Linked DNA regions of Saccharomyces cerevisiae S288C. The protein of the gene in region 1 interacts with the protein of each later gene in a biochemical or structural test. Each region holds a gene or a part of one and is shown on either strand. Other genes may lie near its edges.

The links. Proteins that work in one complex are often made in the same cells at the same time.
Region 2: the proteins of HRR25 (region 1) and SIT4 form a complex in vitro, tested with the Saccharomyces cerevisiae proteins (2 studies listed by BioGRID).

Annotation. Positions count from the first base shown.
Region 1 is NC_001148.4:162,339-166,260, forward strand, and holds HRR25 (serine/threonine protein kinase HRR25), read left to right. Parts: upstream 1-1,937; coding exon 1,938-3,422; downstream 3,423-3,922. Other genes in the region: TYW1 (putative tRNA 4-demethylwyosine synthase), read left to right, coding at 1-3; PGC1 (phosphatidylglycerol phospholipase), read right to left, coding at 294-1,259; cAMP-dependent protein kinase catalytic subunit TPK2, read left to right, coding at 3,918-3,922. UniProt on the Saccharomyces cerevisiae protein: Protein kinase which phosphorylates serine and threonine residues. Can use casein as a substrate. Phosphorylates elongator complex member ELP1/IKI3 on 'Ser-1198' and 'Ser-1202' which promotes the tRNA modification function of the complex.
Region 2 is NC_001136.10:367,745-371,206, forward strand, and holds SIT4 (type 2A-related serine/threonine-protein phosphatase SIT4), read left to right. Parts: upstream 1-2,026; coding exon 2,027-2,962; downstream 2,963-3,462. Other genes in the region: STP4 (Stp4p), read right to left, coding at 1-467. UniProt on the Saccharomyces cerevisiae protein: Involved in the dephosphorylation of the large subunit of RNA polymerase II. Is required in late G1 for normal G1 cyclin expression, bud initiation and expression of certain genes that are periodically expressed during late G1.

The DNA.
Region 1 (3,922 bases):
TAAAAGATACTGGTATATATTAAGAGTAATATCACGTATATATATATATATATATATATTTATTCGAAATAAAGAGCAGAACAATTCAAGTGTTCAATTAGTATGAATGGCTATTAACATTATCGTTTCTTTCTTTTTTTATGATTTAGTCCAAAATATCACTATTCAAATCTCGCGGAGAGAAAGGGTTCGAAAATTTTGTTTTATAATATCATGATTTTGATACGAACATAAATATATATAGAAGTAAAAGAGAAAGTGTTCAGAATAATATTCACGTCAATGAATGGATATCAAAGAAAATGAATGGTTCGAAGGAACAAAAAAATCACATAAGCAATAGACCAACCGCACAACTTAATATGGACCCATTTGGAATATAGAAGCGTGCAAAGGATGTTATAAACTTTGATAAAAGCATGGAATCTTAGCCCATCTACAGATGCCAGACTGGGCGCAACAAACTTTTTTTCAGCAGTAGGCTTCTTCGCCACGGTATGACCATCGCATAACTTTCTTGCCTTGATCGGATCATCCGTGATAGCACCATGGATAGGCAATTCGCACAGATATTTGAAATCTATAGGTTTGTTGACAGTCCATAAATAGACCTTGATATCATTCTTCATAAGCACAGGTAGTAATCTCAATCTAAATTGGCTTGTCCACGAGGAGACAAAATGGACGCTGATACCAAAAAGTTTATAGTGAGGATCATTCAGTGTCAAAGAGCGCTTCACAAATTGCGAGGCGATATCTAAAGACAGACTTATCACAATAACTTTGAAATCCTTCAGAACACCAGTTTCAATACCGAAATCGTACCAATCCAGCAACCAAAGCCCCCACGTGATCCTCTCCTGCCAAAATTTAAGATCATTCTTAACCTCTAACATGATAACAAAGGTCTTGATCATGATGATTTTCTCGTTGGTAAATTTGATGTCCAACATCAATTTAGCTCCTGGATGGCACACTGCCCATGTTAGAATTTCCTTCAATGTCATCATTGCTAAGGAACCATCCTCTTTGCAGCGCAATCGCTTAACCTCCTCCCAAGTCGACTCGCCAATCACCAAGTTCTTATCCCACATCCGACCAGTGTCTGAGTCATGGTTTACCACCACCATACCATCGCTGGTCATTTGTAAATCCGTTTCTATTACATCAGCACCTGCTGCATAAGCCTTCTCAAATGCTAGTAGCGTATTTTCAGGATATCTTGCTTTAAAAGCTCTGTGGCCCACAATTTCAACCATCCTCGTGTCCTTGTTGTTATCTTACACTTCTTATTTATCAATAACACTAGTAACATCAACAACACCAATTTTATATCTCCCTTAATTGTATACTAAAAGATCTAAACCAATTCGGTATTGTCCTCGATACGGCATGCGTATAAAGAGATATAATTAAAAGAGGTTATAGTCACGTGATGCAGATTACCCGCAACAGTACCACAAAATGGATACCATCTAATTGCTATAAAAGGCTCCTATATACGAATAACTACCACTGGATCGACGATTATTTCGTGGCAATCATATACCACTGTGAAGAGTTACTGCAACTCTCGCTTTGTTTCAACGCTTCTTCCCGTCTGTGTATTTACTACTAATAGGCAGCCCACGTTTGAATTTCTTTTTTTCTGGAGAATTTTTGGTGCAACGAGGAAAAGGAGACGAAGAAAAAAAGTTGAAACACGACCACATATATGGAACGTGGTTGAAATACAAAGAGAAGAAAGGTTCGACACTCGAGGAAAGCATTTGGTGGTGAAAACACATCTTAGTAGCATCTTTAAACCTCTGTTGGGTACTTAGAAAAATATTTCCAGACTTCAAGGATAAAAAAAGTCGAAAAGTTACGACATATTCGACCAAAAAAAAAAACCAAAAAGAAAAGATATATTTATAGAAAGGATACATTAAAAAGAGATGGACTTAAGAGTAGGAAGGAAATTTCGTATTGGCAGGAAGATTGGGAGTGGTTCCTTTGGTGACATTTACCACGGCACGAACTTAATTAGTGGTGAAGAAGTAGCCATCAAGCTGGAATCGATCAGGTCCAGACATCCTCAATTGGACTATGAGTCCCGCGTCTACAGATACTTAAGCGGTGGTGTGGGAATCCCGTTCATCAGATGGTTTGGCAGAGAGGGTGAATATAATGCTATGGTCATCGATCTTCTAGGCCCATCTTTGGAAGATTTATTCAACTACTGTCACAGAAGGTTCTCCTTTAAGACGGTTATCATGCTGGCTTTGCAAATGTTTTGCCGTATTCAGTATATACATGGAAGGTCGTTCATTCATAGAGATATCAAACCAGACAACTTTTTAATGGGGGTAGGACGCCGTGGTAGCACCGTTCATGTTATTGATTTCGGTCTATCAAAGAAATACCGAGATTTCAACACACATCGTCATATTCCTTACAGGGAGAACAAGTCCTTGACAGGTACAGCTCGTTATGCAAGTGTCAATACGCATCTTGGAATAGAGCAAAGTAGAAGAGATGACTTAGAATCACTAGGTTATGTCTTGATCTATTTTTGTAAGGGTTCTTTGCCATGGCAGGGTTTGAAAGCAACCACCAAGAAACAAAAGTATGATCGTATCATGGAAAAGAAATTAAACGTTAGCGTGGAAACTCTATGTTCAGGTTTACCATTAGAGTTTCAAGAATATATGGCTTACTGTAAGAATTTGAAATTCGATGAGAAGCCAGATTATTTGTTCTTGGCAAGGCTGTTTAAAGATCTGAGTATTAAACTAGAGTATCACAACGACCACTTGTTCGATTGGACAATGTTGCGTTACACAAAGGCGATGGTGGAGAAGCAAAGGGACCTCCTCATCGAAAAAGGTGATTTGAACGCAAATAGCAATGCAGCAAGTGCAAGTAACAGCACAGACAACAAGTCTGAAACTTTCAACAAGATTAAACTGTTAGCCATGAAGAAATTCCCCACCCATTTCCACTATTACAAGAATGAAGACAAACATAATCCTTCACCAGAAGAGATCAAACAACAAACTATCTTGAATAATAATGCAGCCTCTTCTTTACCAGAGGAATTATTGAACGCACTAGATAAAGGTATGGAAAACTTGAGACAACAGCAGCCGCAGCAGCAGGTCCAAAGTTCGCAGCCACAACCACAGCCCCAACAGCTACAGCAGCAACCAAATGGCCAAAGACCAAATTATTATCCTGAACCGTTACTACAGCAGCAACAAAGAGATTCTCAGGAGCAACAGCAGCAAGTTCCGATGGCTACAACCAGGGCTACTCAGTATCCCCCACAAATAAACAGCAATAATTTTAATACTAATCAAGCATCTGTACCTCCACAAATGAGATCTAATCCACAACAGCCGCCTCAAGATAAACCAGCTGGCCAGTCAATTTGGTTGTAAGCAACATATATTGCTCAAAACGCACAAAAATAAACATATGTATATATAGACATACACACACACATATATATATATATATTATTATTATTATTTACATATACGTACACACAATTCCATATCGAGTTAATATATACAATTCTGGCCTTCTTACCTAAAAAGATGATAGCTAAAAGAACCACTTTTTTTATGCATTTTTTTCTTCGGGAAGGAAATTAAGGGGGAGCGGAGCACCTCTTGGCCAATTTGTTTTTTTTTTATGTAATAAAGGGCTAACGATCGAAGATCAATCACGAATATTGGACGGTTTTAAAGGAGGGCCTCTGAGAAGACAGCATCAATTCGTATTTTCGATAATTAACTTGCCTTATAGTGTCTGATTAGGAAACAATCACGAGACGATAACGACGGAATACCAAGGAAGTTTGTGCAAATATACAGCCGGCACAAACAGCAGCTTCACTCAGGTTAACTCACATACTGTTGAAAATTGTCGGTATGGA
Region 2 (3,462 bases), on another chromosome or scaffold:
AAGGAATTTGATCTGCCGTTAAATTCTCTTTCTGCAACTGTAATTAAATTGGTGAAGGAGGATATGGGTGGCAAAATGACATGGCTTGAGCTGTTGGATGACAGCGGTGTTGGAGAAAGGCTATGAGGGAAATAGCATTTGGAATTATGTGCCAAGGCTGTATTGTCTGTAGGCGAACTCGTGATAGACTGGCATGCAGAGGAGTTATAAGAAGAGTATGATGTAGTTAATGGGGGAGGTGGAGGAGAATTCAGTGTAGAACTGAGGGTAGAGCGCGAAGACGACGTAGTACTGGACAACAATGGCAGTGATGGATCTATCAAATGGTGAATGGTGCCATTGGGAGAAGCCGTTGGGTTTGGCATTTTTTCTGGAGTATCTATAAAGGGAGGGTTTCTCCGTAAAGACATCGTCTCATGGGACATTACTGAGTCAATGCTTGATGCAAAAGATGATGATACCAGCATAGGGGAAGCCAAAGAAAAGAAGTAACAAATATTCCAAGCGCTCCAGTGTTACAGCTACTGCAAACCAAGAAAAGCAACTGACAAGAATTAGATATCCTAATCATAGGGCACCGAATTTACTTCCATGTTTTTTCCAGCTCCACTTAGAATATATATATAAATGTATAAAGACGGAAATATGCGCTTTTGAGAAATAGACAGAATAAAGAACGCACTGATGCAGCTTTAACTTTTAAGAAATGGTGCTTTTTTTTTCGCCCTCTGTTCCTCTGCGGATGGGAGCTATCAGTAGTAGAAAACAAAAGGAAACGAAGAAAAAAAATTGGAAAAGGGAAGAGTAAAACAGCGAGGAGAGCATTACGTACATAAAATAGGTTTAAGTAACCATACCACTAACAATGCCCCTAGGAAGTGACAATCTAGAGATATCCTTGAGAGTTAGCCACGGGCCGTAAGGGAAGGAAAAGACCAATCTAGCAATAAGCGCATGGGGGGTTTCCGACAGCCACTACCAAATTGTGTGGCAGCCAAGCGAGAATCAATGCGGCTATTTGAGATCTGTTCTTTTTCTATTCAAAGACTCGAATGAGGCCAACGAAAGAAGTAGTAAAAAAAATCCGGGATTCCCAATTCAGGTCATATCCGGCAAGACATTCCCGGATTTTATTTTCCTCAATGTGCTCGTGTAAGTGTCGGCCCGGAACTTGATTCCCCCCGGACTAATTAGAAGTTCCGAGAACGCGCGCAAGCCGTCCCGCGCGTAGAAGGCTAAAAAGCAGCCGGAGGAAAAAAAATAACGCAAATGTGGGCTCCCCTTCCCCTGTGCGGCCACGTCGTGCCTCCCCACCATTTGCCTCATATGCGGCCATTGCGTGTGGTGTTTTTTCTGCTCTTGTCACTGATTTTAACTACCGCGGGGTTTGACTAACAAGCAAATTGCAAAGCCGCGGCGGTTCCCGGAAAAAAAAAAAGGAAGGCCACGCTATTGGTAACCATGAAGTGTAAGGCGACGCAGGAGAGATGAAAAGAATGAAATTAAAAGAAATCCAAAAAAAAAAAAAAAAAAAAAAAAGAAAAAGAAAGAAAAAGGGGGAATAACACAGCCGCGGGTAACATGAAGCGGCGCGAGCGATACTTCCGTGTTAAGTGATATCCATCTTTCTGCGGGTAATAAGTCTAGTCAAGTCCGCTGTATTTTTTCTTTCGCTCTCGCTCTCTTTCTCTCTTCGCTCATGGAGCGGTAAAAAAAAAACATGCATATCGAGTCGAAGCCCAGCAAAATTAAAAAAAATATAGCCTTCAGTGGAAACCCAGTGATGCTCGCACACAACGTAATGGAGCATTGAAGAGCTACAGACGGTAGATAAAAAAGAAAAAGAAGCAATACAATAGGTTATTGCATACTATCATAAGCATACAGATAAAGGAGTTCTGCACATACGGTCCCTCTTTCTCTTCCTATTATTCTTCAGTCCCCTCCTCGCTCTTTTTAGATTCGACATTACAAGGTGAAATACTATTGAAGCTCAAAAACATCCATAATAAAAGGAACAATAACAATGGTATCTAGAGGCCCCGACGAATGGCTTGAAACAATAAAGAAATGCCAGGCGCTAACTGAAAACGAGATGAAACAACTGTGTGAAATGGTGAAAGAACTTTTGATGGAGGAAAGTAACATCCAGCCGGTACAGACCCCCGTTACTGTATGTGGAGACATACACGGCCAATTTCATGACTTGTTAGAGCTATTCCGTACGGCGGGTGGCTTTCCTGACGATATAAACTACATTTTTCTCGGTGATTACGTGGATCGTGGCTACTATAGTCTGGAAACTTTTACGCTTTTAATGTGTCTGAAAGTCAAGTACCCGGCAAAGATAACTTTGGTCAGAGGAAACCATGAGTCCAGACAAATTACTCAAGTTTACGGGTTCTACGAGGAATGCCTGAATAAGTACGGATCTACCACCGTATGGAAGTATTGCTGTCAAGTTTTTGATTTCCTGACGCTGGCCGCTATAATTGACGGTAAGATCTTATGTGTCCATGGAGGGTTATCTCCCGAGATTAGAATGCTCGATCAAATCAGAGTCTTGTCAAGAGCTCAAGAAGTGCCACACGAGGGTGGGTTCTCGGACCTGCTTTGGTCAGACCCTGACAATGTAGAGGCTTGGCAAGTTTCCCCTCGTGGTGCAGGATGGCTCTTTGGCAGTAAAGTTGCTAGAGAGTTTAACCACGTTAATGGACTGAACCTTATTGCCCGGGCTCACCAACTGGTTATGGAGGGGTTCAAGTACCATTTTCCTGAAAAGGACGTTGTAACCGTGTGGTCCGCGCCAAATTACTGTTATAGATGTGGTAATGTCGCGAGTGTAATGAAGGTCGATGAGGATCTGGAACCTACTTTCAAAATTTTCTCGGCTGTTCCCGATGACTACATAAGAGAATCCACGGCAAACCATAATAATCAAAGAGCCGGCTATTTCTTATAACACGACGGCATGCCCTCCCTAACTCGACGAATAAAAATAATTTTCACAATAAAAAAAAGACTACAAAAATCAGAAACTTTTTCATTACGCCATTTGCTACGATACGATACACAACAAGCACATTCTAAGAGCATTCCATTTACTATGGTCAAAATGACCAAATAAAAAATTAAAAAAAAAAAGAAGGAATGAGAACTAGTAACTACATATTCAACAATTGCAGTTTTCTTTTCCTTTTTGTCCTTGTCCTTTCTTTCCTATTTATATATATATATATATATATATATAATACTACTATGTTATATTACATTATATTATTATCACAATAATTATTACGTTCATCGTGCCGAAACGTCACCTCCCACGGTTTGGATCTATTGAAAGAGGGTGGAATCCCTGATAATAAAAAAACTTTAATCAACACTCGGGAGGGGAAATATAAAAGACTGGCGCTACTTAAAGAGCTGATTCGCCAAGGCAGAAAAGCATAACCATATTAA